2 linked regions of the Rattus norvegicus genome follow. The protein of the gene in region 1 purifies or fractionates together with the protein of each later gene. This does not show direct contact. Links are inferred from orthologs where the notes say so. Each region holds a gene or a part of one and is shown on either strand. Other genes may lie near its edges.

Evidence for each region.
Region 2: the proteins of Slc7a11 (region 1) and Cd44 purify together in Homo sapiens (affinity purification with western blotting; 3 studies listed by BioGRID and IntAct, with this or other methods). This does not show direct contact. The link is inferred for Rattus norvegicus from reciprocal best matches to the Homo sapiens genes SLC7A11 and CD44.

The regions. Positions count from the first base shown.
Region 1 is NC_086020.1:136,598,142-136,614,087, reverse strand, and holds part of Slc7a11 (cystine/glutamate transporter), read left to right. Parts: intron 1-819; coding exon 820-943; intron 944-2,714; coding exon 2,715-2,818; intron 2,819-3,613; coding exon 3,614-3,710; intron 3,711-5,505; coding exon 5,506-5,655; intron 5,656-6,955; coding exon 6,956-7,133; intron 7,134-9,655; coding exon of another isoform or gene 9,656-9,726; exon of another isoform or gene 9,727-12,795; intron 12,796-12,814; coding exon 12,815-12,879; 3' UTR 12,880-15,946. UniProt on the Homo sapiens protein: Heterodimer with SLC3A2, that functions as an antiporter by mediating the exchange of extracellular anionic L-cystine and intracellular L-glutamate across the cellular plasma membrane.
Region 2 is NC_086021.1:109,690,355-109,706,959, forward strand, and holds the start of Cd44 (CD44 antigen precursor), read right to left. Parts: upstream 9,071-16,605; 5' UTR 8,959-9,070; coding exon 8,883-8,958; intron 1-8,882. UniProt on the Homo sapiens protein: Cell-surface receptor that plays a role in cell-cell interactions, cell adhesion and migration, helping them to sense and respond to changes in the tissue microenvironment.

The sequences.
Region 1 (15,946 bases):
TGAGGGTCACTAGCTTCCTGGCTTTCCCAGTGCATTAAATGAAGACATAAGATTGCATTTGTGCTGGGTACTTCTTGAGGCCGCACAGTGTCAGCACTGTCCAGTTGTTCATACTTCACAGCATGTCACCTCTAATTTCATGGGATTATCTGCACGGCTGCTTTATTAGATGGTCGCTATCTTGAGAGTCCTTTGAACTCACAGCAGGGCCATGCACAGCCATTACTGTGAACGCTTCTCTTACGTACACAATTCTTATTACCGTCGCCGTTTTACGAAGGCAGATACAGCCCACCACCCTCCTGCCTCCAAAACTCTGCGCTCATTTGTTTGCACCACAAGCCGCCCCACGGGAAAACCCTGAGTGCGAAAGATGCTTTGGAGGGCTCCCTTTAAAAAGCTGTCCAGCCGGCGTGGTGGATTCATGGTGGAAAGGCGTGTGGTCCTCGGGTCAACAGCATCAGGATCACATGGGGGCACAGGAGAGGTGCTGATCTCATTAAATCAGAAACCCAGGGATGGGCTCAGTGGCCCGTGCTTTAACAAGCCTTCCCTGGTGATTTCGAGGAAAGCACGGCAGTGCAGTAACATTCATGGGGTAAAGAATGGGGTAGACCTATATATTTGGGGATAGAGCAATAGACAAGTTATACAGAATGCCTACCCCCATGGATCTCATTATATTGCAAAGGTACTTTGTTCTGATAAAATGTTCTTTCTTCCATATGCCAACATCAGTCCCTGGAACTAGTCTTCTGTATTCTTTGGTAGCAGAAAATGTGAGAGATGACCCAGACCCGATGTCTTTGTGTATTTCAGAACCATCCCCCTTGCAATCTGCATCTCTATGGCCATCATCACAGTTGGCTATGTCCTGACAAATGTGGCCTATTTTACAACCATTAGCGCCGAGGAGCTGTTGCAGTCCAGCGCTGTGGCGGTGGTAAGTCAACATTACAGTTCCCACAGTTAGAATTTAGGCTAATGAGTCGAGGATGGACTCTGCTTTATCATGGCTCCCTACAGGAGAAAGTGTTTTGAAGTTAGTCATCTTTTCTTGACCTGAATGATAATATTTTGAAGATTTAAAGTGTACCCTACTTAGATTCTGCTAACTCTACCCTGAGAGCTCTTTGTTATTTTTTTTTTAATTCTCCTAAAAGGCATTTTTATATAAAGCTGCCTAAAAAGGCTTTCCTACAAGGAGGGAGTATTTTCCCAACATGTTTCTAAGGACAGGCGGAGTTTCTGAATGCAAATCAAGGCAAGTTTTGATATGCAAAGTATAATCCACTCTTCTCATTTCTGGTTATCAACTTTTCAAATGTTGACTTGAATCCTCTCCCCAAATTATTTTTCTAGAAATTTCAGGAGGACCATGTCTATTCATCCATTTGTAGCATGACTTGGAATAGTGGTGTTGTGGTGGTTTTTATAAATTTGGGAACAGGTAGGCAATTAAATGTTAAAGAGATGTTACAAAGAGATGTTCCAGCAACACTTGGAGATGACTGTGCATTGTAACCCCCTAATTCCAAAGATTTTCCACAAAATTATTTCACACTGGAACTATATTCGTGTCCAAAGATCATGTTATGAGACTGCTTTTTCTTTTCACTCGTGTTTGCTCAGACATTTTAACTGGGAAGAAAGAATGCACTCATTAACTGGAAGCCAGGAAGGTGAAAACTTAAAAACACCCAGAGACACTCCCATCCACCAAACACAATTCCTTTTAACACAGTATCACTTCCTATCAGCAACACCCACGGAGAATGGCTACCTCCTGTGGTGCGAACCTGTATCTGAGGTCACAGTATGAAAAGGGCTTTGTCCACTGCCTTGAAATGTACAAAGCTTCCGGGTGTCTGGTCGGTTGCCTCACGTTTCTAGGCAAAGGGCAGCCCTAATTTGTGGAGAGCATAATGGGGTCTGTTAATTGCATAGCACCAGCTGCATCAAGGACAATGGGAAGAAAAAAATCCTGTAATAACCAAAAAAAAAAAAAAAAAAAAAAGCATCCTTTATACAAATGTGCAGGAGTGCCTAGGAGAAAATCTTAGAACTTTGTCTACCATTTGTTTATGCTTTGTGTCACTTGTCAGGATTGGAGTTGTGTTCTAGCATTTTACAGGAAACCCTGGTAGGAAATGACAGCCTCCTAGGGTCGGGGAGGGCTGACTCCATAAACTGGTTCAGCTGGTCTGGTCTGACTCGGGTAAAGAACCTTCAGACTGGCTCACTCATATGATGAAATAGTCAACTTGTCTATTGTTCTGATTTATCCTCCAGCATCAAGGTGGGCCAGTACCTGTCACACTCACGAGTGTACGTCTAGTGCTCCTCATACAAAGGTGGCTTTTTGGGATTGTGCAGAGCAATTTCTGTCCTTAAAGTAGAATTTCCTATCTAAGCCCCTTCCTCTTACCAGAGGCGATAGTTGATAAAGAGTCTGTAAACGGCTCGTTGCTTTGGAGGGACAGAGAAGGCGACTGTTTAGACCTTTGCCCACAGGTCTGAGACAGCAATGCCATGGTGCCCGCTTCTGATGATTGTCTTGGGAGTCAGTTTGACCCTAACGAAAAAGAAGGATTATAAAACATTCACGTAGCACCAGGCTAATGGAAAGTCAAAGAGCAAGTTTGGCCTAAATTGTTTCATTTTATTCCACTTTCGGGGAAAGCATTAATTTGCTCCGTTCTTTCCTTCCTCAGACCTTCTCTGAGCGGCTGCTGGGAAAATTCTCATTAGCAGTCCCGATCTTTGTTGCCCTCTCCTGCTTCGGCTCCATGAACGGTGGTGTGTTTGCTGTCTCCAGGTGAGCGAGTTCATGTATTTTCAGAAACACATTTCTGTTTTAGAGATTGGATGTGATAAGGATAACTTTTAAAGAGAAAAGCAATAGTTCCTCCGAACCTGTTGTTTTTAAAGGGATATGCGAGTTCCTAGTAGATTCCGGTGAAGCATGTTTCATTCTGTCCAGTAGAGGGCGCTGCGTGTCTACACATAGCCCACTCTGAGCAGGGCATGCTGCATTTTTTTTTTTTTTTTTTTTTGAAGAGTCTGTCTTCAGGGTTTTATAATGGCCTTTATTTCTAGCGATAAAGTCTTTTGTTTTTGTGAAGGTGCCACGGAAAACAGTAAAGTCGAAAGCAGAAATCACCACCCTGCCATCTGTAACCCTTTTTCTTAGTTCGTTGGTACCAAAATCTTTTTTTGCCTATTTATGTTACAATTTAGAGAGAGGTTAACATTGCATGCATGTACATATGTGTACATGTGCAATGCATGTGTGCTACTTTGGACTGACACTAGCAATCTAGCACTGAATTTGCCACCAGCTACTCCTATATAAGAAGAACTCTACTCAGTGCAATATTTCTATTGTTTTTCCTCAGAGCAATATAAGGTATTTCCCAGACTCTGTAGGTCCTGAAATGAGACTTAGGATGAGATCTTCCCCTTGTCTTCAAAGCACAACCCAAATGACCAGAGGAGAAATGCCAAGACGCCTAGCATGAGGACGATGCATCCATGTTGCTTTGGGGATTTAAGAACTGCTCCATTTGAATGATTGATTCTGTAGTCAACTTCACCCTTCTTCTCCCTGCAGGTTATTCTATGTTGCATCTCGAGAAGGGCACCTTCCGGAAATCCTCTCCATGATTCACGTCCACAAGCACACTCCTCTGCCAGCTGTTATTGTTTTGGTAATGCATATTAACAAGGACATGCAGATATAACCTCACACAATGGTTAGGAAGGAGGGGATGGAACAGACATCCTGATTCACCACTGGGTTGGTGCTCAGTGTGTCGTGTTTGGGAGGCCAGAGATGTTTGCCTTGGCTTGCTTTGACTCCGTGCTTTTGATGTGTACCGGATGCCCTGGGATATGACCCACCTCACTTCTGCTTCACCTTTGCAGAAATTTGTAAGGTATGAAGGGAAATGAAGGCTATGGTTTCTCTCCTTGGCGGAGAGCCTCAAAGGAAAGAAAAGGAAAAACCGCAAGGATACAATCTAAATTCTGGTCTCAGAGTTCAGCTGAAAGCAGACTGTGCAAAAATGATCTGTGGCCCTCTCCTGGTCCCTCTCATACAACGTAATTTAAAGCATAGATAAGACATAAACAGCCAAATGTTTCTCCAGGAGGCCTGTGAGAGCAAACCTTAAGGAAAAAAAGGAAAACCCTAAATGTAGATTGAAGCAGGGGAATTCTCTAGGCTGGGGTGATATTTGTCAAATGTGGGACACAAAAGGCTGTTAAAGGTGTAAGAGCTCTCAAATACCCTTGGGCAATGCTACAGTCATTTTTTTCCCTCCTCTGATTTTAGTAACATTTTTTCTTAACCAGAATCTGCTGTCAAGAGCTCCCTAGGATGCATTGAGCATTTTTTTTTCTTCTCCATGCATTTAATTTGTTTCAGAATGTTTCCTTGAAATTTCTTTTGAACATACGCACTCTGTGCACAATCTGGAAGCTAACGTCATTTGTGGGAACAGGATGTGCTGTTCCATAAAGAGGGCTTTCGTGTGAAGCCTCTGCTATCCTTCATGCTGTCCTTGGCTTTTTCAGCTGCAGATTCCTGCTCTGACGTCCTCTTTCTCTGTTTATTCTTCCCTGGTCCTGAGGCTCACAAGCAGTTATCACAAGGGGACAGTTGACCCGGAGTAGGAAAAGGTCAATGTTGTGCATTAGGGAGCCAAGAGATTTACCTTCACACGGTTGTCACTTGTGTGTGGGTCCCAGGAGCACTTCAGAAATCACTTCAGAGCTTCCTTAGATTTTCCCAGTTATCTGCATTTAATATTTATGATTGGCAACTTACTAATTGATTCTGGATGATTTTGAGTGATTGGACATGTTTTCTTCTTATTCTTTGAAAATACAATGTCTTGGGTAAGGTACACCTGTACATGCTACGAGTTTGGCAAGCATGAGAACTTGAGTTTAGTCCCTCAGACCCAATGCTGGTATGGTGACTTACATTCATAATCTCAGTACTGGGGAGGCAGAGACAGGAGGCTCCCTGGAGATCACTGGCCGGTCAGCCTAGCCTGCGTGGCCAGTGAGAGGCCCTATCTCACAAGGTAGAAATTGTCTTCTGGCCTCCATGCGCATTTACAAACATCCCTGCATTTATACGCATGTGCACCTGTGTGAAGACGACACCCTTACACACAAAAACAAGCCAACAGAAAATACACTGTCTCCTTTCCAAAGAAGAAGGAACTGACAAAGTAACAAAACAGCACATTCTTACAAAATCCCAACTGAAGCGGGGCTAGTGACGGACTCCTCCAAAGGAGGCTCCATTGCAGCCTAAGAACGGATATGGTAAAGAAGTTTGTGGAACCTAGGCTTTGGTCAGGGTGACAGCTTAGCACTATAAATAAGTACTGGGCAGGACACTGGTGGTGTGAGGTGATGTTATTGTTTGTATTACCTGTCCCCTCTTAGTTCCCTTTGGTTACTGTATCTCTCCTCCTCCTCCTCCCCCAGCATCCTCTGACAATGATAATGCTCTTCTCCGGAGACCTCTACAGTCTTCTGAATTTCCTCAGTTTTGCCAGGTGGCTTTTTATGGGCCTGGCAGTCGCCGGGCTGATTTATCTTCGATACAAACGCCCAGATATGCATCGTCCTTTCAAGGTAACCTCGGCCATCTTGATGGGTTTACATAAATCTCTCTTCTAATACCTAGACCTCTTTTTGTCATAACTCGATGGGGAGGTTGGGTGCCACAGGGTCCGGCAAAGTAAAATATTTAACTCTTGCAGGGAGAACCTTCTGTTCCACTTTACTTGGGGGGAAACTATGTGCATTTTAAAGTATGATATAGTGAACTTGTCACCGATTTTATCTGTTGAGAACAGAAAGTGTTAAAAGATCCTCTTCAGACTGTGATTTCATGCATGGCTTGGGTATGTTCAGAGCGTGGCATACCCCTGTCTTCATACTAAATGGTTGCAAACAGCTGGGCTGTGAAAGAAAGAATACTTCATTGATAAAAACTCAGCCGTGGGTGCTGCTTTACGGATTAGGCATTTTAGTCCTTATTGTAACTTGTTAACATCATGGCAGTGTACTCTATCGTGGCAATTCTCCATCACTGGGCTGCAACCCCTTTGTGGGTTCAAATGACCCTTTCACCGGGTTACACAAGACCATCGAAAACACAGATATTTACATTATGATTCATAATAGTATAAAAATTGCAGTTACGAAGTAGCAATGATTGGGCTGGGCAGCATCATCACATAAGAAACTGTATTAAAGGGTTGCAGCCTTGGGAAGGTTGAGAACCAGTGCTCTGAAGAAATATGAAATACCAAAGGAAACACTTAGCACTAAGGAGAGGACCATTTACTCTCCCTGCAGTTTCCTTTAGGAAGGCTGGAGAGCAGCCCTGCCATCAGTCTCAGATGTCAATGGGTCTGTGTGATCTCACTATTTATTTGCTTTTTAGATTTAGCACAGATAACGCTGCCAGTCATGTTATCAGGATTTGCCTCTAATTGTATTCATTGCCACCTGCTTACAGCATCTTTATTAGCTGCTGACTAGGAGTTGGCCTGCTCTATTCCCATTGAGTCTCATTGTGACTCTCAACAGGAAATCAATATTCACGGAAAGGTTTTAACACGTAGCAAAGCCACTGGTGCTCTTGACTCTGTGTGAAAGCAGGTTCTAATTGTGAGGATCGAAGAAGCAATCTTTTAAGATGAAAAATGTAAATCACATTGATACTTCAGTAGTAATGAAATTTGAGTAGGGCGTTCGCCAGGAAGCACACTCTCCTAGCTCAAGACTCGGTTCACATGTCTGAAAACAAGTTAAGAAACTACACCTACCTAACACATGCTCTGTGATGACCCGGTCACATGACCGACGCCCTCCACCCCAGTGTCTTGCACTGTCATGAAGTTGTTTTCCTTTGGCTGTGTTTCAGGTGCCTCTGTTCATCCCAGCATTATTCTCCTTCACCTGCCTCTTCATGGTTGTCCTCTCCCTTTACTCGGATCCGTTTAGCACCGGGGTTGGCTTCCTTATCACCTTGACTGGGGTCCCGGCGTATTACCTCTTCATTGTATGGGACAAGAAACCCAAGTGGTTCAGACGATTGTCAGGTAAGACTTTTGAACATCTTGGCCCTAACTAGATACTGTGTTGTAGAAAACCCATAAAGCTGTACACAGCTAATATACATCTGTTAAACACTAAAGCTATGATTGCTACAATGGTCAGTTAACCCGTATTACGGCAATGTAACGGCAATGTGGAGAGAAGGATGGGAAAGGATGACTGCAGCCCGGTGGGGTATTGGATTCTGGTGATCTTAGTCATTGGAATTTTAGAGGAAGGATAGCTTCTTTAGGTAGTTTTTCAGTGCTGCCCACTGCTCTTTTGAATCCCTTAGCGACATAATGGTTGTATTCCTTGGTTGAATGCAGTTGAGTGACTATCGTAACATTAAGTTAACCAATGATGTAAGGTTTGTTGGGGTGTGAGGTTTCAATGTCTAGCTAGCAAATGTCTTAAACATCATGGCTGTAATGCTACCTCACTAGAAAAGATGACCTGAAGAGGATTTTAGTAACAGCAACAACAACAACAACACCTAATCAAGAGTAGCATCTTTCTTGTGTGGGTTCTCTATGTTTGCACACGTGTGACCACTTTCTCCCAACAACCGTTTAAGTAGTAGAAGCCATTGTCTATATTGTGTAGACTTTGAGTTACATCCCCAGAAAATTCACGCCACTCTTCCAAGCCACGTGGGTATAAGTAAAAGAGCTGGGACTAGAACTCAGCCATTGGCACTGAGGATGGAAGAGAAGGGCTTGAGGCTGAAGACACGGGAAAGACATGGTGGTTCCTTTAGGGACAGGAATAAGAGTTGAGGAATGTCTGAAGGTGGGTCCTGTTAGCAGGACCATGAGGACTTTCAAAGCAGGAAAGAGGAAACACTAGCTCAAAGTGGTAGCCTGTTAGGGTGTGCAGGAGGAAACATGGAAGGTCACTTGGTCAGAAGGTGGCTTTGGAAGTGCCCTGTTGTCAGGAGAGCTCATGAGCTCTTTCCCCACCTTCACTAGCTCAGATAGATTTCCTGAGGACCCATGTCCCAGATTCTGTTTCCCACGACCAGGTGAGGAAGCCATGGCTCAGCAAGAAGGAGAATTTAGAATTAGGTATAACGGACTTGGAGCATGACATCTAGAATTTGAACTCACATTTCCTGGACATCAAGATTCACTGCATTAGATCCTCATCCCATTACAAAATATCACACCAAAGCAGTGGAGAGGTCTTGAGCATGGTAGAAAGCCTAAGGCCTAGAAGAGCCAGCAGCCTTTGAGGTAGGGTTGGGGAGAACAAAGGGCAAGTTCATCATGTTGTCCCAACTAGATGGTTTTCTGAAATTCCCTGTGTAGTCAGGCAGTTCTAGCCATCTTTCCTCTCACTACCGCAGGCAGGCTCCAGGCCACCCTGTCAGTTCAGATCAGACATTTTCAAATGTGATCTTTCTTTGTTGCCCTTCTGTGCTTGGGTCCTTTTGGAGTTTTTGTTGTGTTTCTTCCTCTGATGATGCTTTGAATATCTCCAAGGCCACTGCATTAGCCATTTGTGGAAGGAGCTGTGGTGGAAGAAACCCAGGGTGGTTGTTGGTTCAGGGACGCTGTTAACTCTTACCAGCGATGCAGCAGAATGCTCTGCTTTAAACTGTGATCATTGCCGCTCTTTATCTTTACAGACGCTTTGAAAAGATAGGGGGAAAAACAGCAGTCCTTTGTAATTCTGTTTGATTTTCCTCTTAGGCAGCGTTCTTGTAGTAAGATAAAGAAAATTCATAATATTTATTGCTGCAGAAGCAAGTATTTTCTTAGCCTTCGGCCAAAACAAAACACACAGATGAAACCAGAGAGTCCTCCAGTAGTACCCGACCCTTCCCCAAAGACATACTTTGTGTTAGAGAGAAAACTCCACGTGAGCTTGGAGGCAGGAGAGCCTTGCCCAGAGCAGTTGGTTCAATAGTTTAATATCATGTTTTTTTCGCCTGGTGAAATTCTCTAGTCTTTATGTTTTGTTTTGTTTTGTTTTTTTCTTTAACTTTAGTATGTGTGAATAGAGTAACCCTGGGAAAATGTGACAAGTCTACTAAAATGCACCGTGCCGGGGCTATTTCCAGAAGTTGTAACTAGACATCATTGTTGTGCAGAGATACTGGTGCAAGGCTGGTTGGCACAGTCAGAGAGTGTCCCGAGCCTTAGGAAGTGAGATTTTTTAAAGATCTGATGAATGTCTCTGGCCACAGGATGCCAGTATTGAACCACTTTTTATGTGATAGCATCTCCAAAGCTAAAAGAAAGCACTCTCTTAAGGGGGTAGTCATATATGCAGAAAGCTCTCTCCTCTGTCTGTAACGAAGGGACTGATGTTTAGTTTATATTAATTTATATTTATATTATATAAATATACTTATGTACATATTTATATATATTACATATATTTGTGTTACATGTATATAGTTTTATTATATATTATAATATATAATTGCAGTATATATCTTGTAATACAAATAATACAAATTATATGTAATATCTATATTATAAATACGTTATATGTATTTATATTATTCACTTGTTTGCAGACAGTCAAGCTTCTCAGAGGAGGAAAAGTGTACAGGTTCACCCCGATATGTTTGGATGCACAGAGCACTAAAGCCAAGGACTAAGCCGCTCACTATCCACCCAACCCTATAGTAGCCGAGAGCCATTAGGATGACTGGCAGTCAGCCCCTCTTGCTCAGGGAGAGATACAGAGGCAGCCTTATTTAAATAGCATCTTTGGTTGTAAAAAGGGGAAAGAAAAAAGAATTTACTGTGGCCAACATGAACAGAATGCCTGTAATCCATCTTTGCGGACAGCAAGCTCGCAACTCGAGAGCCTAAAAGCATGTTCAGCTCCAAGTCTGTCAAGGTAGCTTCATTTGGAACAGTCCACTGAAGCTGGTTCATGCATTTAGAGACTCTTCCTAAAGGTTAGATTACCATTTTAATTCATTAAGTTTGCCTATATATTTCTCAGGGGCTCAGAAGGTGTTCCACTAAATAAATGTAATTATAAAAATAAAAAAATAAAAATATAAAACTAAATATAAATAAACATGAAAGCATTCACCTCCTTCCCCCTTTAAGAGAACATACTGTTGTTTTTCATATAATTTCTGGGGCAGGATAGCTTTGTCCTGCATCCCAAGATCACTCAGCCCTGGCTGTTGGTCCTCTGTGGATACCAGGTGTGATGGGGTTATGAGACGGCACAAAGTTCCGGTTTTCTTTAAGAATAACAAGGGAGGAACATGGAAACCTCAATCACAGCATGACTGTAAAGTTCAGTAGGTTGTAATCTTGGAAAACTCCAACTGTATGTCGTCAGCTTACCTTTATTTGAAAAGGCAATGATGTGGGTTTATTACTGTACGGCCACTAATCTTATTGTGAGTATGAGTAGGATATGCGACATGCCAAACCCACACATTCTGCAGGGCTTCTAGAAGCTTCCTTGATCCCATCGAGCACCTGTGCCAGCCCCACTGTTGTAGGGCAGCTTAGAAGGAAACGTTGGGAAACCAGGTACCCAAGGCCTTTCTGAGCACCCCATCATAATAAAAGTTACGCCCCACTAGGACCCCGAAGGGAGAGCTATAGAGAATGTCAACGGGGCTGGTTAGGCACACTTTGGGCCTTACTCTGCTGAGAGGAGAATAGAAACAGAAGGGCACAGGAGCATCCCAGTTGCTGCTGCTGTCTGGAATGGAGGCAAAGTTCCCACACCAGGGAGTGAGAGGTCTAAGAAGGCAATACATGGGAATCTGCATTGTGGGAAAACAGTAGGGAAGAGCTTTGATGTCAAGAGTAGAGGGCCAAGGCTGAGTGAGAAGACAGGATGTAGAGGATTGCTTAGGAGGCTATGCAAGGATGTCTTTGAAACATGAGGTTGCAGCCCTAGTTCTTTAACCCCATTGCTTTTCTTTCCAACTTTTGTTTTTCCTTTTACCTCCTCGCTGACTACCATTGGTTTCTTAGCTCCTTGTCTACCTATAAACACCACCTTCCCTGGCCTATTGATGGACGACTCCCCCTAAGCCCTAAGCCCAGAATGTTCTCTTAAAGGGGGAAGGAGGTGAATGCTTCCATATTTATTTATATTTATTTTTATATTTATTTGTAAATTTTCAAAGGATAATTTTGCCATGTACTTTTCTGCAAATATGGGGTATGATTATTGCTTTCATGGTAGAGTAGACTGTATAAATTGCAACTTATCTAAGAAATATGTAAAGTTTATTATTTGATATTACTGTACATAAGGCCCTTTTCATTAAATGTAGGGTTAAAAAAAAAACAAAACAAAACAGCACCCCCCCCCATAACACCAACAACCCCCTGTCCAAAACCCATGATGTGTTCCCAGGCAACTACTTCAGGGATTATTACTGTATCTGTTACTTTTCTTTCTTCTGCAACAACTTACCAGACAAAAGGCAACTTAAGGGAGGAAGGTTTGTTCGGCTTGTAGTTTGGGCAATGCCCATCTTGTCATAAAAGGAAGAACTGCTGGAGTTTCCTGGGTGGCTGGTCTTCCTGTCTTTAGCCAGGGAGCAGAAACCAAGCAGCGACTACATAGGAAGTAAGGCTCGGTTATAAAGTCTCCAGGCCTGCCCTCCTAACCCACATTCCCCAGTGAGGATCTACACCTAAACCTTCCACAGCCTCCCCTAAACAGCGCCAACAGTTGGCGACCAAGCGTTCAGATGAGGGACATTTAGCAACACCACAATGAGAAGAGAGCAAAGGATAAAAATAGCTTTTTAAATGTAGTTAAGTATTGCTTGCAGGCTTGTTAGAATAACAAGTCATCAGAGAAGAGAAGACTGCCTGCAGGGGAGATGATTTGGGTCTGGAACGTTTGGGGGGGGGAGGTACATAGTCTTCTATAAGACTAGGGGACTTTGGAAGGTGTTCTATGGGAATTGGTGACAACAACAACAGCAACAACAACAAAAACCAAGAATTTCCCTAAAGCCATCACCACCTAGCCCAGCACCCTAGGTGTATGGTCAGAACATGTCCTTAGAAGTAATACGACCCAGAGGTTATTATATTTTGGTGTCTGCTAGAGTTACCTCTTGCTGGGTTAAACCTTCAGCTTCTCCTAACTTAGAAGACTGAGACCTAGACTTGAAGCAAAATTAGAATTGTGGAGGGCGCTTAATGTGATTGGTTTAAGAACCTTAAGTGACCCAAATTAGTCCAGGTTTCTCATTCTATTCATGAGACAGACAAGGTCTTGATAATTAAGGTAATTTGCTCAACAGTACTACCGATTAGATCCTGGAAATGCTATTCTTCTCCTGACTGTCCAGAGAAATTGGTTGTCATCCCCTATGTAAAAAATAGAACAAACCCATCTTGAGTTGAACATGAAGAATATTTGTAAACATTTATTGATATCTTGGTCCCATTGTCTCAAAATATTTTCAGCCTCCTGGTTCATGAATAAATGTTCTTATTTGAATGCAAAATATTAATAAATTCTTACTGAGAAAGCATCATGGGAAGTTGTAGAAGTGACAAATACACTAATTGAGGATGATAGGATTGTAATGAAGTAAATAATTCTCGAAAGTGCTCTGTAAAGAGGGTAGCTGTGTACTCTCAGTATTCATCCCCAAATAATTCACATTTTGCTATTTTTATGCTGCTGTGATTTTCATGCATTTTAATTTCTCCTTATTTCTTTACAGACAGAATAACCAGAACATTACAGATTATACTAGAAGTTGTACCAGAAGACTCTAAAGAATTATGAACTTAATGTATCAAATCCTTGGCCATCTGCCCAGGACTGAGATACAAAATGGCTCTTTATTTCAAGAAAACACAATTTTGATGATGGGCTAAAGGAATTGGTTATCTCTAATCATAGCCTCTAGTGTATTTGAATTAATTTCTGAGCAACTTACCGGTAACTCCATATATTTGTAGCAAGCTAATATGCAAGTCATACAGTGGGGCAAGCTCACAGTTCTTGAGTCTAGTGCCTATCTGCTGAGGGAAAGGAAAAGGAGAAACCTAAGGGCATTGGCACCTGGGTATCATTCTCTACAACATTTCTTATCGTGACTGAGAACCTTGAATAGAAGACCAAAATGGTTTCTGTACATATGAGGCCTGTAAACATAGCTTTACCTACTGGGGACATCTATACTGTGAAAAGGATTTTGTTTTTATTTTTCTGAAAAAAAAAGAGTCATTATTGTAGCAAAGGAAGCAGAATGACTTTTACATTGATCTTGGATTGTTTTCCCTTAGTGACCAACATGGCTGTCACTTATCTTTCAGTGGCTTATACTCAGAGCATCAGAACAAATGAAGATGAGAGAGGAGAGAGACAGAGACAGAGACAGAGACAGAGACAGAGACAGAGAGAGAGAGAGAGAGAGAGAGAGAGAGAGAAAGAGAGAAAGAGAGAAAGAGAGAAAGAGAGAAAGAGAGAAAGAGAGAGTAGCTGGAGGTCAAATTCAGGGCTTTCCAAAAGCCAGGCAAGAACTCTACCGTTGGGATACGTCTATACTCTAATTTTCTTAAATGAACAAAAGAAGCATTCCCAGGGGCTAACATTTATGACGCAATCCTAAACTGTGTTTGAACTAAAGTCATTGAGAACTTGTTAGGTTAACTACGTCATTGTTTATTGTCAGGAAACTCGGTGTTTGTAACGTCACTGTGGTTTGTAACGTTTCAGTGTGGTTTGTTTGTTTTATTCCTGAAAACCTGTATGGTTTGGTATGACATCCTTGGTGAGACACCTCTTTGGTAATTTACGTCTTAGTGGATAAAACCGTTTCGCTCATTGCAGTCCAACACCCGCATGGGAGAAATTGCCCACAAGACTCCAAACATCAGGCCTCATCTCTATAAACCGCATTATACGCAGGGTTAGCAGTTCATTCTCCTTTTCTTTAACTTTGTGGCTGTTTTTACCTGGGGATGATTTTCGACAGTGTGTGCATCCCCTTTACCGTTCTGTTCAAATATCTCTGGATAAAACTATCTGGATCCATCATAAAGGCACAGCTTTACATAAGAACTGTGCAAGAAATGCATGCCACCACTTAGGAAGACTTTCAACTGACTTTTGAAAAATCTAGGCGGTTTCATTCATCTCTACACTTTACTTATAATTCAATTTGCCAAAGAGGGATCTGTGACCAAACCTATCGAAGGAGAGTCTTCAGTAATGTCGTTCAGCTCCCTGACGTCGAGTCTGAGTTAGAAAAACACTAGCAGTGTTCAAATGGGATTAATGTGATGGTGGGATTTTTAAAACATTTTCCTAACATCTGAAAATTAAATGCATAGCATGGTCACAGTGAATTAAATTTGATCTCTTATATTTTGACCACTTAAAAACAAAATGTTTTAAAAAATTATCCTGAACTGGTTGTGGTGGCACATACCTTTAATCTCAGCACTTGGGAGGCAGAGGCAGGGAATCTCTGAGTTCCAGAAGAGCTAGGGCTACCCAGAGAAACCTTGTCTTGGAAAAAACCAAACCAAACCAAACAAACAAAAAGTATTTTCCCAAATAAAAGCTATTGAGTTCATAGATAATTGCCCAAAGTACAAATGATGACCTTAATTTGGAACAATTCACCAATTCAGCATTTTTAGTATCAATAATGTTTAATACATACCCAAAGTTGACTTTGTTTCTGAAGGCCAAACCAAGTGTTTATTTCCCTAAGTGAACTGCTAACAGGTTTTTTGTTTTTATTAACATGGGCTTTTCCAAACCATAAGTCTAGTCTCTAGGGCTAACATAGTGTTCATTTGTTGACGTCTATCTCTGTCAGATGTGGCTAGAGGTGCACATTATTATGTTGTTATCTTTATACCAGACCCATGAGATGTATCAAGGCAGGGTCTTCTGATTACCTATGAAACAGAGTAAAGCCATGGAGAAGGTCCTGTGGTCCACGATTCTTCCTGAGGTTCATGTGCCCCTCGCTGATTGTCCTCATTGTGTCATTTGCTTGCCAGTCTGTGTGCAAGCTGGTCAGGTTATACTTTATCATTCCTCCTCTCGTTTCTAAGACATTTTTGTATTGTTAAATTTATAACGCAGTTTTAACCAAGCATAAAGAAACTCAGTATTTCTATAAAGTACTGTCCATGGGGCTGTGTTTTTGCCTATGCTGAAGAAGAGAACACACAGTTCCTTTATTCATGGGATTCATGTTCATAATTGTTAGTGAGATAATGTAAAACAGATTTTTATTTGGGAAATACTCCTGCACACTTATAATGTGTGTTTTTATACAAAGTAAATTTTCTCATATTTTAGATTTATGCATGTATGTACACATGTGATTACATGTGTTAATGTTCGTGCTGATGTACATATTTGAATGTTTATATAAAAACACGAATTGATTGCTACAATACAGAGTTAAATGCAGCCTACACAGTTTAAAATATACAATACTCTATTTTCAAATATTCTTTGTTTTGTATACAAAGTGTCAAACATGTAACTTTTTAAGGCATCTGGTAAAGATTTCCAAAGCTTAGGTGTGATTTTATTCTACACGGTTATAAATATTTCCATTGATTGATATTCTTATAGTGCTACTTTATATCTAGAAGATATAAAGCACTAGATTCTCCCCTTTGATTTCAAGTGGCTCTTGTAAATGGTGGCTCTGCTTAGCTGACAACAGGTCCTGCTCTTGTCTTTCAGTGGGAGATTGGACATTTCTCTTAGCAAACATGACTGGGTCTGGGTCTGCTTGTGGGTTCATGAGTGTACACCCACAGTGTGTGCACATTTGCTCCCCAGCCCTGCAGGTACAGGGTCAGGACAACTGATGGGA
Region 2 (16,605 bases), on another chromosome or scaffold:
AGGATTGTTTCTATACTTAGAGCACTTCTGTATGCTGTGGGACTTTCAAAAGCATGAGCTGAATCCTGGTCTACAAACAACTGCCTGAGCTCACCCGGCTCTTGGGTCACAGAGAGAATGAGCTAGGATCTTTCTTCTTTCACAGCCATGGAGTCTTCAGCACCGACCTCCCCTAATAACTACCTCCTCATTCGCACACCAACTGTCTGATTACAGGGAACAGCTCCTAGATCTGGAAACCATTGATGGGAAGAAATGACACTCAACTCTCTCCACCCCACCCCACATTTTTAATGTAGGAACCAAAGAGCCAACACTTTATCTCAACGTGTTGCCGAAAAGTAGGATTTTGATGGTGGGGGTTGAATTTATACAAGGTCAGGTTTTGAGATGACTGAGTCACACACATAGCCAGATCTAAAGGAAATCAAGAAGCCTACTCTATTGGACAAAATCTAATGGGCCTTTTAAGCTCCTTGCCTTGCCTGACATGTTAAACCTTAAGAAAGGTCCACTTAAACTAAAGAGGGTGCCCAGAAAAGAAACTTCAAGAAGTTTGAGATTTCCTTCAAGAAGCACTAGGGAAGAAAATGTTTTCTGGATACCAAAAAGAAAAGACAGAATTAAAAATAAGATAGTCAGAACTTACCCCCCAAAATCTCAGTTAATGATGGTGATTACTTCTAGATTAAGTCCAGAAGTTTTATTCAGTTAACTATCTAAATATTTAATGAGAGCTTACTATAGTTGGGGAAATATGCCAATAGCTGGAAGCTACGGTGTTTGCAGAAAACTTCATAGTGCATGGGTTTTCCATCGGGAGCTTTGGAGTCATACAGCTACAACCAAAGAGCATCACTTTAACTTCTTTTTAAATTAAGTCTTGATTATTTCTGTGTATATGTGTATACCCATGTATGCATATGCATGCATATGTGTGTTCAGGTGCATATGTACACAGAGGCAGGAGGATACCTCCTGTCATTTCTTAGAAGTAGCCCACCCTGTCTGGAGGAGACAGGCCCTCTCACTGACTTAGAACTTATCAAATAGGCTTGGTTGGCTGCCCAGAGGTCCCCAGCAGTCTTCCCATCTCCACATCCCGGAATTGGGACTATAAGTGCACATGGTCACACCTGTTTTGTTTTGTTTTGGTTTGGTTTTTACATGGGTGCTGAGGACTGAGTTTAGGACCTCATGTTTTTAAGGCAAGCATTTTCCAGACTGAGGCATCACCTGAACTGAAGTTCTCATGAAGGATCAGGCAATGCAGCAATAGCATGAACAACTAGAGGAGAATGATTGCTCTTAGGAGTGTCCAAATGAGTGAGTGTAACCTCTAAGGTATCATGAAAACAGAGGACGCAACACAAGACAAACTGCCAGCTGATTTCCACTCCAAACCTCATCCATGCATGCATGACCTCTGGTCTTTGGGCTTCCCTCAGTCTATGTCCTCCCTTTGCCCATGGGGAGCCCCTACAGCTCTCTGGTAGCTATAGAAACAAAGCAAGTAGTTCTCTCTAGGCTTCAAGTTGGAACTAATATCTGTTAGACTTAGCTCGTTGGATTGTGTAAAGTTGTTGTTAGTAGCATTTGTGCTTGACATACTTATTTGATGTTTCTGGAGCCTAGAGAGATGGGGTCTGGATTATAGTAAAATGGCTGTCAAAGGCAAAGGCAAGAAACAGGTGCATGCAAACTCTCTTTTCTCCCTGGTGTCTTAGTTCCAATGGTGGTGAACATTTGCTAAGAGGTTTCACTATTATCCTTTTAAAAAATGAAACAAGGAACGGTGCTGCCTCATTCATGGCTCTTGTGGATGCTTTTGGAAGGCACTGCTGACTCGCTTAATAGTAAAGATACACACGACATTGAAACAGATGGGAAATCCTGAATGAGTTCCTGCCACTAGATTAAAGCAGCCCTTTCTACAGACTGAGTCATATGTGCCCAAAGTGCTTCACCTCCTCTCTTCCTGAATGACTTGTTTCTCAGCCAGCGATAGCCAGAGAAAAGGATCTTATTGCCTGAGTGACATTTACTTGCTGCACACCAAGCCAATTCCAGGTCACCTGGTTTGCTATAGAGCTGGGAAGAGTGGCTGTCATGAACTTAAGTTCTCTGTACCTTGAATGTAAAACCGAACTCCTGGCCAACTCCTGTCTCAGTTTCCCTTTCTTTTCCATCAACTCCTATTTGTAGAATGAAGACCCTGGATGCAGAAACTTTTCAGCAAACAAGGAGTACTTGGTTTTTATTTATTTGTCCCATATCTCCCTCAGCTTTCTTTAATCACAAGTCACAGTCTTAGATGACAGAAAAACGTCAGTCATCAAAGTCCATCTTCACCCAGGAGAGAAATAATAAATGAAGCAACCAGGAACAAAAACCACACATCACCATCCATTAACTCGCCTCCCAAAACTCACCACAGAAAAGGAACTAGACTCCTGCTCAGGTATTTATAAGTGAGCCCCTCAGAGGACGAATGGAGGAAAGTTTCCATTACATGATCTTTTCCCTTCTCTTTTGCAAGTCCAGTCTCCTCCTCTGATGTCATGTTTTAAAATGAAAGACAGTGAGCTGGAGAGATAGCTTAGTGGCTAAAAGTGCTCACTGTCCTTGCAGAGGCCCAGAGTTCAGTTCCCAGCACTATACCAGGTAGCTCACAGTCACCTGTAACTCCAGATCCAAGCTATCTGACACCCTCTTCTGGACCCTTTCTGTACCTATGCTCACATGATGACCTGAATCTCAAGTCCCTTTATTTTACAACTATGTGGCCCTGGCCCATTTCCTTAAATTCTGTGCCTTGGTTCCCTCTGTAAAAAGAGGATAATAAAAGCACTGTTTTCATAAGATTGGTGCATAATTTAGACAAGTTAGTTTATAGAAAACAGAAAGAGAGAGAGAGAGAGAGAGAGAGAGAGAGAGAGAGAGAACCAGTTCTGTTTATGATTATTAGCATTGTTGATGGTAACTCAGAAACCTAGAGTTAGCCACCAAAAGGCAAATACAAACGGTGTACGAACTCTAAAATGCACTAACTTCCAGCCATCGCCGAGGGTACAGATGTTCAAAATCACCGCTCATCTGCCCGTGTGACCTTTCCCTTCCTCCCTGGGGTTTTGCAATTAACCTTTACTTTCAAAAGCTGAAGACTTGAGGAAAGTTCTTGGGACCTGAGTTTTGCAAATCACATCCTTGGTGACTCAAGCCCTCCCCACCCACTTTGAGTCTGTCTGCCCACACTTGCACAAAGGAGGGACGCTTGCACCAGGCGGGTACACCCAGGCAGGCAGCTGGTGCACCCCAACTTCATGGCGTTCTGGCTTTGTGAGTCTAGACCCCACAATAGCCCCCTCTTCCTGTGTTCCACTGTCTCTGAGCATTGGTAGACGAGTGATCCAAGGGAGTGCAGGACCTACCCTAGGCTTGAGCTACTTTGTACTGGGCAAGCTCACTGCAGAGGAAGCTGGTGGGTGCCCTGTTAGCTGCCAGGCTTCCTGCAGATTAGGCACTTTTGGGATATGTAGAGTCATTTGAATAGCAGGCCATGGAAGATATCAGAATCTTCTGGGAAGGGTTTCTGCATCACTCCCTGCTGCTTCCACCTACCAGAACCAAGTGTGTCAGAGGGTCGGTGAGCTTCAAGGGCTCCTCGTCTCAGAAAGCCAACCTTGGCTGGCCAGTTTCATTTGAGGTTTAAGTGTGAGTTTGGTGTTACCAACCCCTTCCCAGCTTTCCTAACCCTCTCCTTAGACTGGCCCCATAGCCGGCAGCCACCAAAACCACCACAGAGCGACAAACCCTCTGCTTGGGAAGAGGACATAGAAGCAGTCGACCAGCCAAGCCTTCTCCCCACCCTGTGCAAAATGACAACGTTATCAGCATGCTGTCACACACACATAAACATATTTGTACCCTCAGTGTGTCAGCCAGCCTGCCTCTGTACATGAAAATTCTTACTTCTCTGTTTGAGATACTCTTTTAAGTACAACAATTCTGGTCCTCATTGTGGGCCTGCATTGGGGTCTAAGACCACAAAACTGGGTGAGATCTAATCCTCATTAGCTGGAATTCCTCAGGGCATCCCATGAGGCTGCAGAAGGCAGGTAGCAGAGACACATTTTCCATTTCTCACTAATGGTCCTGGTCCCCAAATGCTTGCTGGCCAGTTTGGAGCTTGTTGGGTTCTGGTTTGGTTTTGGTTTTTGTTCTTGTTGTTTGCTTTGGAGTTTTTGTTGGCTTGTTTGTTTCCCCAGTTATGGAGTTGAACCCAGGATTTCATGCATGGTAGGTAAACACTCTGTCACTGAATTCCACCCTAGTTCCAGAAGTATATATTTAACAAAAATGTGAGACCGCTAAGTGAGTGAAAATTTGGGTTCAAATTTAAGGCCCTCCTTAAAAAATGCTGAGTCCTCATTCAAGCAGAGGCATAAAGTAAACGGAGTCATCAGCTTCTTGTGCAAACTCCAAGAATCTTTCTCCGAAGTAGAGAAGATCCCCTTTGAAAATTCCACAGGGCCAGCACGCAGCTGCCACCTGCTTTTAGCTTATGCTTTCACAAGAATAATTTCTCGCTCACATTCTGGTTAGAGTTGCTAAAATGGAGGTCTTTATGAAACACCACTGTAGGTCATATCTTGTCTGAAACTCCAGGTCAGGCTGTTGAGAAAGCAACCCCTCTCCCCCACCCACACACATAAGTCTCCTGTTTTATAGTGGAACTGAGTCTACCTGGTTGGGTGTATCCTAGAGGTTCTCAGTGGATTTTGGTTCAAGAGCTTTGACTTCTGTAGAAAGCCATGTCAACCCACTGCCTGGGATTTCAAGACTTCCCCTCCGATGGGGCGGGTATATATAATCATTCAAAGAGTTTATACCAGCAGTTCTCTATGGGTCACTGCATCCAAAATGCCTATGAGAGCAGCATAGGAGTGTCTGTGGGGCCTTTTTTAATTTGTAGGCAAAGGGCATTGCCCTGACTTGTCTCTTAGGCAAGGAGCAGCCTCTCCCTTTTTGCCAAGCCTACAAATGAGAGCATGTCTAAAGGGGCAACTGGACTCTGATAAGGAAACGGGCCTTATTTTAGCAATAAATATCTAGGTTGGCATTTCTAACAGCTGTGGTTGAGCCCTGGGAAAGATGAGACAGGGAGGGCAAAGCAGAGCAGCCAGGAGCCTACGTACTTCTGGAGGGAGGCAAGAGAGGCCATCCATGATCACTCTGCTGAGTACAGGGGGCAGGAGCAGTGGAGACCACATGCTCCTGAATCCTCCAAATGTAGTGATGGGGTGATGTTAGATGGTGGGGCACCTCGACTCTACTCTTGTGTCCTCGGAGCCTTGATTTCTTTATCAAGAAAATGGTGCTAGGAAAATCTTCATGTGTGTGGTCATTGCACGGCTATGTAAGAAAACCATCGATTAAACTGAATCTGAGCAGTGAGTAGCACTTACTCTTAAAGGTTTTGGATGCTGAGTGGCAAGAGCAACATGCCAGGATTTTAAAAATAGGGTTCTTCTGGTATAGGGACTCCAAAAGAAGACCAACAGAATCAGCTAACCTGGACCCAGAGGTGCTCCCAGAGACTGAACCCCAAACCAGCGAACATGAGCTGGACTCCCACGTATGTAGCTTAGCCTTCACGTGGGTCCTTAAACAACTGGAGCAGGGGCTCTATTTATCTGCTGTCTGCCTGTGGATCCCATTCCCCTAACTGGGCAGCTTTATCTGACCTCAGAGGGAGAGGATGTGCCTAGTCCTGCAGTGACTTGATGTGCCAGGGTGGGGCTCCCCCTTCTCAGAGAAGGGGAAGTAGGGATGGGGGAGGAAGTAGGTGAAAGGAGACTGAGAGGAGAGAGGATGCTGCAATTGGGATATAAAGTGAATGAATGAGTGAATGAATGAAGAGAAATACATGAAAAAATAGGGTTCTTCTAATTTTTCAGTGATGCTCAAAAGCCATATGAAACAAGACAGGTCTGTCTTGGGTACCATCTTCCTTTAGCGTACGATATGGTGATCATTACTCTTAAACTCAAACTGAGTATTTCGGGCCATAAAATACAAATGTGTGATGAGTATGTAAGGTAGTACTGAAGGGGTTAAAAATGTTATGCCACACCCCAGATTAGCCACACCTTCCTCCTCACCACTTCAGAGGAAACAGTGGTACTCCAGAGACTGCTGGTCTATCAAAGTTGTCCTTACACCCTAAGGAGCAGGGAACTCACCAATCCCTGTCTCCCATGGTCTGCTTCCTCTTGGGGAAAAGCAGGGTTTTTTTTTTTTTTTTTTCCCTAAGTGACCTTTAAAGTTCCCATTTTTGAATCTATGACAATGAATCAGGAAATTTTTAGGGAATGAATGGAAGAAGATCTGTCATAAACCAGGAATTTCATGTGGTCCAGCATCTCCTCCTGCGTAAGGGGAAGTTGGCAGAAAATAGAAGTTTCCCACCTCAGCTGCCAGGGTCTCCTCACTGTGCTTTAGAAGGAAGTAAATGTCCTGTGTGTGCCCAGGAATAAACAGAGACACTTTGGCACAGATGGGGCTTGCTTCCTTACTTCTTCACATGGGAAGACTTAGCCTGAATTCTGATGGCCAATGCAAAGCAACAGAGGCCTACAGAATGCTCAGAGGAAGCAGAACAATGCCTGCTTCCCCCAAGTCCCAAGACTCTCACGTGACTCCCTCTTTACCAACAATGGAGGTGCAATTTTCTAGCCATGAGCGTTGGAAAGGGAGAGGACATATGCAAGTGGACACTTGTCCCCTTCGCCTTCAACCTAGGGCCACTTCCTCCCCTAGGAGAGAAGTTGCTTGGCCTCTACCAGTTCTCTACTGCTTGACTTCTGATGCAGCATTGGATGGTTTTTCCTGCTACCCCCACCCAACTTCGCCCAGTCTCAGTGCTTACTCACCATCTTCCCAAACCAGAATGGGGCAACCACGATGCCTCTCTTTTCTCTCGGCCTTCTCCTTCCCCTCTGCCAGCCCAGATTCTTTGCTAAGTCACATCTCATTTCTGGTCTCAGTTCCTTTCCGACAAGGGAGTGAAAGCCAGGGTCTAGGTAGCTGCTGCTACTGGCACTTACCCTACTTGTCCTGGAGCCGCACTGTACAGCAGGAAGATAGGAACCCCAAGGCAGAAGACAGCCTGCTGGCCTTGGGACCTGACTCCAGGGGGTTCGGAAGGGCAGCAGGTAGTAGGGCTTTTAGAATAGCTGGGACATAGGCCAGGAAAATGTGGGAGTTCAGCCCTTCAGTCCCAACAAAGGTGGGAGTAGTGTGCTAACCTTCCTCCTGAGGCAAGTTCAGGACTCTCTGCCCTTCCCTCATCCATCCTGAATGTTTCTGCCTTCCAAGGGTCCCTTGGAGCTCTGGTTCTCTATGGAAGCCTCCACTGTAGTCTCTGCTGGCTAGATACCGCTTTCCTGAAGGTTTTCGATTTTGTCTAGCACTCACATTTAGGTATCCCATGGCAGTCTGAGCTAATGAACCCAAGTTCACACCCAGCACCATCCCATAGGAGAAGCCACCTAACCTCTCTGAACCTGTTTCCCTACTGGTAAAGGGGGTGGTGGTGTGTGCATTCCTCACCAAATCACCATGAGGATAAAATGAGAAATGAAGGACCTCACATAGAGCCTGGCACAGCAAAGGGGCACAAAAAATGGCCAATGGTGCTGTGCTGCTAAAATCATTCGCATTACACCTGCATCCGTACTCAAATTTTAACATCCGGCAATGGAGGTGCAATTTTCTAATCCCTACCTACCATGCCTACAAAAACCCAGTTTGATACCCCTTACGCCCCAGAACTGGGTTTAATAAATTCTTGCTGAGAGGAACCTCCTGTAGTCTGAGCTGGCTTAGTGACCTGACTGACACTTCTTAAAAGAAAAATTAACTATGCTGATGATAAACAAAGCCTTCGTGTAATTATCTGTTCGTATACATATAAAAGAGGGGAAACTCTTAGAATTGAGCCATACTGAATACCTGGCCCCAGCTCCTCCCCTCCACAGCCACAGAAGCCACCAACCTCGTTTAGATGGGATATTAGGGACTCCGCGCTAAAGTTCACGTGTTACCCTAATGCAGGCCCCCTCCTGCCCTGAAGCTGCCAGGCAGCGAATATGGACCCTGTTGCTGTTTGACTTTGCCTAGACTGGCAAACCCAGGAGACTGCAAGCACCGGAGGCTGGTCCAGTTATGTTCCTGTCTTGTGTCCTCCTTGGCCCATGCTGGAACCTTTTGGGTACTCAGAGCCTCACACAGAACCAGTTCAAACTCCCACAAGCTAAAATAAAGCAGTCGGTGATCAAAGCGGACTCTAAGAGCCCCGAAAACTAGTCTAAGCCAGGACCCGCTCTCTTCAGCTTTCTGAGGCTCCTTTCGGAAAAGCCCATTGCCAAATAACTGGCCTACAGCTATGTGAACACCTTGGGGAGTGCTCTACAGGTCCTTGCTGCCCCAGTCTGTGGCTCTAACCTGCTAGCCACAACCAGCCAGGCTTAGGGAACCCTTGAGTGCCAGAGCCTGTTAGTCAGGACAGAGGCTGTGCATATCCAAGAGCACAGTTACTTTTGAGCCATGTGCTTCAGCAAGCGTCGGGGACCTCGCCCAAAATTTGCAGCGGGCAACCTGCCCAGCAAACTTTCTTCTCCCTTTCTCTTTTCCTTTCACCAAAGCAGCACTTCCCAAGAGCAAACTCTTTCCAATAGCATAGCCCCAATCCCAGCTTTGCTTTGCTAGCCCAATTCACTACAGTCCCTCCCCGGGCAATTCAACCCAGAGGCATCCAGCTGGAGTCCTCAGGCGCTTCGCCGAACGCATCCCACAGTCCCGGCTGGCGGGCTACTCACCGATCTGCTGCTGTGCCAGGCTCAACTGTAAGAGGCAAAGTAGTCCCCAAGCTGTGTGCCACCAAACCTTGTCCATGATGTGCAGGATGAAACCAAAGGATCTAGTAGCCTCTGGAAAAGGGTCGCGGGGAAAGGGGCAAAGAGGGTGAATGGAACCTGTCACTGGCTGGGGGCTGCTGGGCAATGAGACCGCCTCGGAAGTTGGCCGTGGTTTTTATTCCAGGCTTTGAAAGAGTGACCTAAGAGGGAGGGAGCGCGCGAAGGACACACCCAAAGAGAGGGGGCTGTGACTAAGCAGCCAACGGAAGTTTAAAGACACACCAACCAGCTTTCGCTGCTGCCCCTGCGCCCCAGCCCTGCTCTTCCCCGCAAAAGAGAAAGGCTGCTGCCCCCATGCGCCCACGCCCCCCCAGGGCCACTCCACAGGCGTTCAACCCTGGCCCAGCCCGCCAGCCTATGAGGAGCGCTGCCTGGGACAAGAAGAATGGCTGAGTCCTAGGACCTCGCCCCTCTGAGTTAAATCCTCCAGTTTCTCCTTTGCCACTAAACTTCTGGGAACCTGGCTAGGGAAAGAATGGGTTTCCCAGGAAGCTGGACTTAATCTTAGGGAGGAGCTGAGAAAAAATTAGAGAAATCTATCCCCCGCTGGATAATGCCTTCCTGGCCAGGGTGGGAATTGAAAAGTAGGGAACTTGTGGGAGTTTCCTCTTTCTCTCTGAGAGAAGTCCAAACCGCTCAGCAGATCTTTGCTCCGGAAAACCCAAGGATGCCAACCCATTTCATTCATGCTCTCACATACTCACACATCCACCCATCCATTCCTGTGTCCACCCATCTTCCTCCTAATGCACTAATCTACCATACTCCATCTGCCCACCAGTTCTTGTATTCACCCACCTGTACAACTTTTCATCCACCCTTCCATAAACCTTTTTTACACCCGTCCTATACTCGTTCATCATACGTCCCACCCATCTCGATGCATGTACACATTTCCCGTCGTCGTCTCTCACTCTACCCATCCTCATATCCACTCACATATTAACTCTTTCTTGTTTGCATTTTATACTCCCTTTGCTGCAAGCTTTAATACATTCCTCTTTACTTCTTGATAAATTTCAAAGAGGGGTGTACATTGCCATTTTCTTCAAGGGAGATATTTCCAGGCTGAAAATCCAGGGGAAATAATATTTAAAATCACATTTCCCTGTCTTCTCTAATACGATTTGTGTTGCAATTTGGATATCAAAAGCTCTGTTTATTTTTAATGTGAACTAAATCTGAGTGGACTTCTTGCCGAATGAGAGACACAGAAGACATGGCTACGGCAGGACCCAGAATGAATCGTGCCAGAAATTCTGAGGGAAAGTGATATTTTGGGATTTACTGAAAAAACTGAAAAAGCAAGAGAAAGGCACCCAGTCACCTGCCCATCCATTTATTCATCAAGCATGTAATGAGTGCCCAAGGGTATCAAGAGAGGCAAGGCCTGGTTTGTCTCCTGGAACTAGCTCAGTCACAAGCCAGCTGCTGCCTGCAATATAAAATATACTGCAAAACCACAACTAGGACTGGGACGATGGCTCAGTGATAAAGAGCTTGCTATCAAGCACATGTCCCAGGTTAGATCCTTGGAACCCACAGGGTGAATTAGGCAAATTGTCCTTTGCCTTTCACGGGCATGCCTATGTGTATCATGGTGCAAATGCGTGCATGTGCACGTGTGCACGTTGGAGCACAGACATACACACATAATCAGTAACTGTTAAAATGATTAAAGATAATTCAGCCAGCTTCATGTATCTATAGGCTAAAAAATTCATAAGAATTGCATTTGTTCTGAGTGTCTACAAGCTTTTTGCTTTTCATTACTTTGTGAACCACACAGCTCAACCACTACGTATCACATAGATAAATATATATATATATATTAATATATAACTCTACATTTCATTTTGCTAGGTATTACAAGTATCTAGCCATGACTAGAAGAACATGTGTGTGCTGCATGCAAATACTGAGCCATTTTATGCAAGAGAATTTATCTTCTGAAAGTTGCAGATGAAGCTTGGGTTTTCTGGAAGTGATCTGTTGATAAGGGATCTTTCTCCCCCTACCCTCCTCTCTCTGTTTCTGTGTGTGTGTGTGTGTGTGTGTGTGTGTGTGTGTGTCCTATAAAGACTTGAATATTAGATCAGATGATGAGACTGAATGCTCAAAGTAAGAATGAAGACTAGAGAATTCTGCAGAGACCAGGTTGTAAACTTCAAGGAACTTTGAACTTGGTCCTGTAGAAAACCAAGAGCCATTGTGAGTTTTAAAAATGACTTTTGTGTGAAAACACATATAAACTGGCTGTCACACAAGTGCAATTATGTGGCATTTAGTTAATTCACAGTATTACAGACCCTTCACAACTTCATTGTCGGTTTTTCAATTAGGGAGAACCGTATGGCAGCAGTTTTAGAGACATTGACAGCAGTGACAGGGTTGTGAAATTGTTGAACCACTACCTAGCCAGTCTGTGCCTGGCAGGGCGGCATGACACAAGGACCTACCGTTCTGAGATGGAGAAGGCACCTCTTGGCCTTATCTGAATACAAAGCACTTTAGAATTTGCCAGTAGGTGGAGAGAGCTGGGCACTCTGTTGTTTCAGACCTAGAGACCATTTATTTCAAATTATAAAGGTCTCCACTTGGGGTAAACATCCTAGTGGGTTTGGCAAACTATGGATGAGGAATAATCTTGAACATTTCTGTTCAAGATTTTTGTCTGATTCTCTTTGGTGGAGGAGAGGGAAATAGGTAATTAACAGGAATGATTTTTTGTGGAACCCGGGGGTTCCTTTGGGAGCCCTTCAGTAAAGGACATAGAGGCCAGAGCTGAGGGTTTAAAGTGAGCTGTGTTCTTTCCTTGTCTCTCAGCCTACATGACATGGTCAGCTTTATATACCAGATGAGGTTGGGCACACTCAGGATGGTATGGCTGCAGACAGTTTTAGATATCAGAATATCATGAGAGCATTCATTTTGACAAAAGATTCTAAAAAACAAACAAACCAGAAAAAAAATCCAACCTCAGACCCTGCTTTGTTGGAGTGTTTTGCGTTTGTTCAGTAAACAATACTGCCCAAAGGTGTGTGGCGGAAGGCGAGGGGGAGCTGACTGAAAACGCTTTGCGAGCTGGAGAGAGACATGCAAATTCTCTAGAAATTATTATTAGGATTTTTCTCCCAGAGGGGAAGGGCTTGCTGTCTCTTCCCGATAGTTCAGCGAGGGGCTGAGACAGCTTGCCCTGGTGCCACAAATGACTCAGTTTCGATAATAGACTAAGACAGGCTAGTCCTTGGGAATTCCTGGATTATCTCTGTGTCTTCTTCAGTCACCCCCCCTTTTTAAACACCTTGCTCTCACCATGGGCCACCAGGTCCTTCCCATCTTCTCCTTTGCACCTCTATGAAAGTGAAAATCCTTAAAATGATTTGCTTTATACCTTTGGTGTCAGCTGTGCATCCCATCAGTCATCTTTTGTGGCCAAAACGTGGATGTGGGAAACTGAAACAGGGAGCTCGAATTGGTGGGGCTTGTCATGAAATCACAGGGTTTGGAAGGAAGCCAGAATACAGTCATCAGCTTTGGGCTGAGAGAGCCCAAATCTGAGCATCAGCAACTTCACCTCTGGGAAATTCGGGTTCAAAACGAGGGTAAGGAGACCATTTTCATAGTTTAGGAATACTGAGAAAAATAAGATATAAGGATCCGCCACTGCGGTGCCCACTTGAGTGGAGAGAGCAATCACTTATCATCCTATGAGCTGCCAGTGTCCAGGGACATGATTGCATATCAATTGCAGTAGCTGACGTATTCTAGTCTCTGGCTTTCTCTATCATGATCTATAAATGAGCACTGTACAAATGCACGAGTGATTGCTGCTTTCTTTTTTCCCATCACAGCTTATGGGGTGTTTCAGAAGCTACATGAGCTCATGGGTAGATCCAGGCAACTTGAGGGCTGCTGAACACATTCAGGCAGCGCGCTCTGTAAAGTGGCCAGTTCAGCAGCCTACCGAGGAGCCTGTTCACATCATACAGATGAGACGCTCTTACAGAAACGCCAGGGCCTGATGGCTTCTGATGAGTGATCATAGAGCTCCTCTTCTTAAGCAAAGAAAAATAAAAGGCTAGACCAAATGTGAATGAAGTATGAAGGGCAAGGCTGGGAGACCCAGAGATGGATCGTGGAATGGTACAAACATGGAACACCATTTCAGAGACAAGAATTGATCAGCCAAGGTAAAGGTAAAAGTACTATTCCGGTTAATATTGAACTCTCAATGGAATTCATTCTTAGTTCACAGTCACAAGCTGAGTTCTACACATGCAAATGAGCAATAACGAGAAACTCTCATGAAATAATCATTAGTGGAGTCTAAAAAGCCGGTAGCTAGGAATGAGTGAAACTTTATGATAAATAAATAACTTTGAGTGACTATTATTCAGCTAGAAGTGATCACAGAGCTAGGCCTTTAGGATTAATAAAACTTTCAAATTATGACAAATTAAGTAGTTGCTGTAACTATAGTACTCTGAGAATGCTACGGGGATAGAGGAACCTAGATTCTAAATTGGCCATATCAGTCACCAAGTGGCTTTCACATAGAATGTTTGGGACTAAGAAAATAGTACCCAACCCCAAAGCTGCTTAGTAACAAACTTAGAAATGGGAATGTTTGAGTATAGAATTTGAATTGTTTATTCTTTTAATTAATTAATTCATTCATGCATGTATTGTACAGCTACTAAAGAGTGGGCACATTTTACACTCTGGGTTTTTAAATAATTAGCCATAACAATTCCACCACCACCACCAGCCCTACCAGCACTAGTCCTATCATCAGCATCATTCCCATCATGACTATCCCTATCATCATTACCACTGACCTACTTTTGTCTCTGTCACTGTGATAAAATACCCTGATAAAAAGCAACTGGGGGAGAAAAGGACTCATTTCCACTTACACTTCTGAGTCATAGTCCATCACTATGGAGAAGGTAGAAACTTCAAACAGCAAGTTGTGACATATCCACAGTCGAGAGCAGAGGGAAATGAATGAGCACATGATCATTTGCCTTCTTGCTTGCATGCTCTTGCTTCGCTTGATTTCTCCACTCTTACAAAGTTCAGTGCTCCCTGACTAAGGAATGGTGTCACTCACAGTGGGCTGGGTCTTTCTCATATCAACTAAGTTATTAAGACAATCCTTTATAGACATGCCATAGAGCAAATCCACATAGACAACTCCTAATCGAGACTCTTCTCAGGTCGTTCGAGGTTGTATCAAGTTGACAAAGCTAACATCGCAACCATCATATACATTGTCATTACTGTCATGGACAACATCACGGCCGCTATCACTGCTATCATCACCATCACTTTCTGTCTCCATAAACTCCCTTATTGTCAGGCTTGTAAAAGTTAGTCTTAGCACAGCCAATCCAATGTTGTCTAGTTGTCACAGAAACCCTATTGACAGCAAATTATCATTTTACAGATTTAAACGAACAAAATTCCCTGAATCTTGCAAGGGCAGGTAACTAATTCAAAACCACACCTTTATTTTACTTAACAAAATTTCCCATCATCAAGAAATATAAAGACAGAAATCTTTTGTTTCTTCCTAATTACTGATCTGGGAAAACCACTAAACCAATGGGAGTCCAGATTAGTATTTACTTTACCTTTATTCTACTCACTTTCATTTAAGAAAGATAAAAGCTGTAATGGAGTCTCACTAGATATATAACCCTCTCTGAAGGCCAAGCCCCATGCCCAGCAGTAGATGGCCAACACAAAACTAGCTCAATGGTTGCTGTATAATTTTGTCTCATATTGCTTCGTGTTCTCTCTCTCTCTCTCTCTCTCTCTCTCTCTCTCTCTCTCTCTCTCTCTCTCCTTTCTTATTATGCTTTGTTTGTTGTTTTGTTTGCCTGTTTGTTTTCTTTTTTTTCCATGAGCTATGACATTTATTTGCCTTTCCGGGCTTTGATCTTCCGCAGATAAAACTCCAACTCCTTGCCTTCGAGTACATAGCCATCTGCTCTGCCACACTGGCCTGGTCTTGAGACAATAAAGGTGAGAAGCTTGCCCTGCTGGAACTGCTCCTCCAGAAGACTGCTGATTTTGGCATTCTTTTTCCTTTCATCATATTTCTTTTGAATTTTCTTTGATCGTTTTTAAAATCTCTTCCTCCTCAGGAGTCAGCTTGGTCCCCTTCTTGCGGCCCAGGGGCAGTGCATAGTGGGACTCGTACCATTGTCGGTACGGTGTGCTGTCAATAAGCATAAAGCAATTCTTCACCAGGGTCTTAGTGCGGACGAGCTCGTTATTGGATGCATTGTAGACAACGTCAATGATCCTTGTTTTGCGAGTACAACACTCAGAGCCCCAGGAAAAATCCCCACATCCAATTTCAGAGCACGGTACTTCTTATTGCCTCCTCGAACTCGAACTCGGACTGTGTGTATGCGGCGAGGGCCAATCTTAGTGTTGGCGGCCGGCCTTCCCAGCTCATACTTCCGCTTCTTGTGGTAGGGTTTTCTCTTACCCCCGCTGGCTGGAAAGAGTGCCTGTTCGTTTTCTAAAGAGAGATCTAAAGAGAAATAAAGGCATGGAGTTGGGTCAGTGGGGAGGCAGGGAGGAGTTGGGGGAGGGAAATTGTAATTTGAAAATATCACATGGGGAGGTAGACTGGTGTTAGACAGAGAGTGGCACATGGTGATTCTCACAGTTTTCTTAAAATGAGAAAGGCTTATTGAATAGCAGAGACTCAGATGTTGACTGCTCATCAGACAATCTGAAGTTGGGGAGTGCTATCTTTTTCCCTATTGAATCATCACAAGATAGCTGTGTGCTCAGACTAGACATGAACACCCTTCCCTTTCTTATGCCTGAGTGTTTAGTCAGTTCCTGCACTCCTTGCAGGATATTCTTTGGTTTCCTTTTTCTTTTTGTTGCTGTCGTTACTGTTGTTCAATCCACAAGACACAGTTCCTTCTCTGATCCTGAAAATGAATTCCTGACTCTATAATTTTATGTTGTGACTCCCTATTTTCCATGAGCATGGTCGAATGATCCCAGTGGCAGCCTGATCCAAGTCCAGCCATGTTAGAGCTGTTTGTGAAATTCAGAAACACAATGTAGCTGAACATACATTACAACTTAAAGGCTGTGGGACAGGTATATTCCTCCACCCATGCTTATAGAGAAGCAGGAGAAAACAGAAGGCAGAGAGTAGGGGACAAGCAGAAAATATGTCCTCATTTCTGACACTTTGCAGGTTCCTTGACTACTGTGGGGCACCCAAACCCTTACCACTAATTCCTTTCATTCTGCCTCTGTTAGTCCACATTAGTTTCTGTTGCTTACAACCAGAAAGACTTAATGAATAGAAGACTATCACTCCACCTACAGGTGGTAAAAACGTTAAAGGACATTGTAGAGCTGCCCGTTGCTGGATCTGAACTTCAGGATTTGACTGTATGTCTTAGGTCTTCTCTTGCTCCTTTTGTGACTTGCTCCCTCTCAGCTCTTCTAACAATGTCACATTTTACCCCAAAATCTCATTGACTCACTGTACTGTGACAGAAACTAGATTCCAGAGTGATTTGCCTACAGTTGCAAGCTGATCCAAATGAGTAGCAGATCGTCTGTCTTCCAAAACCTT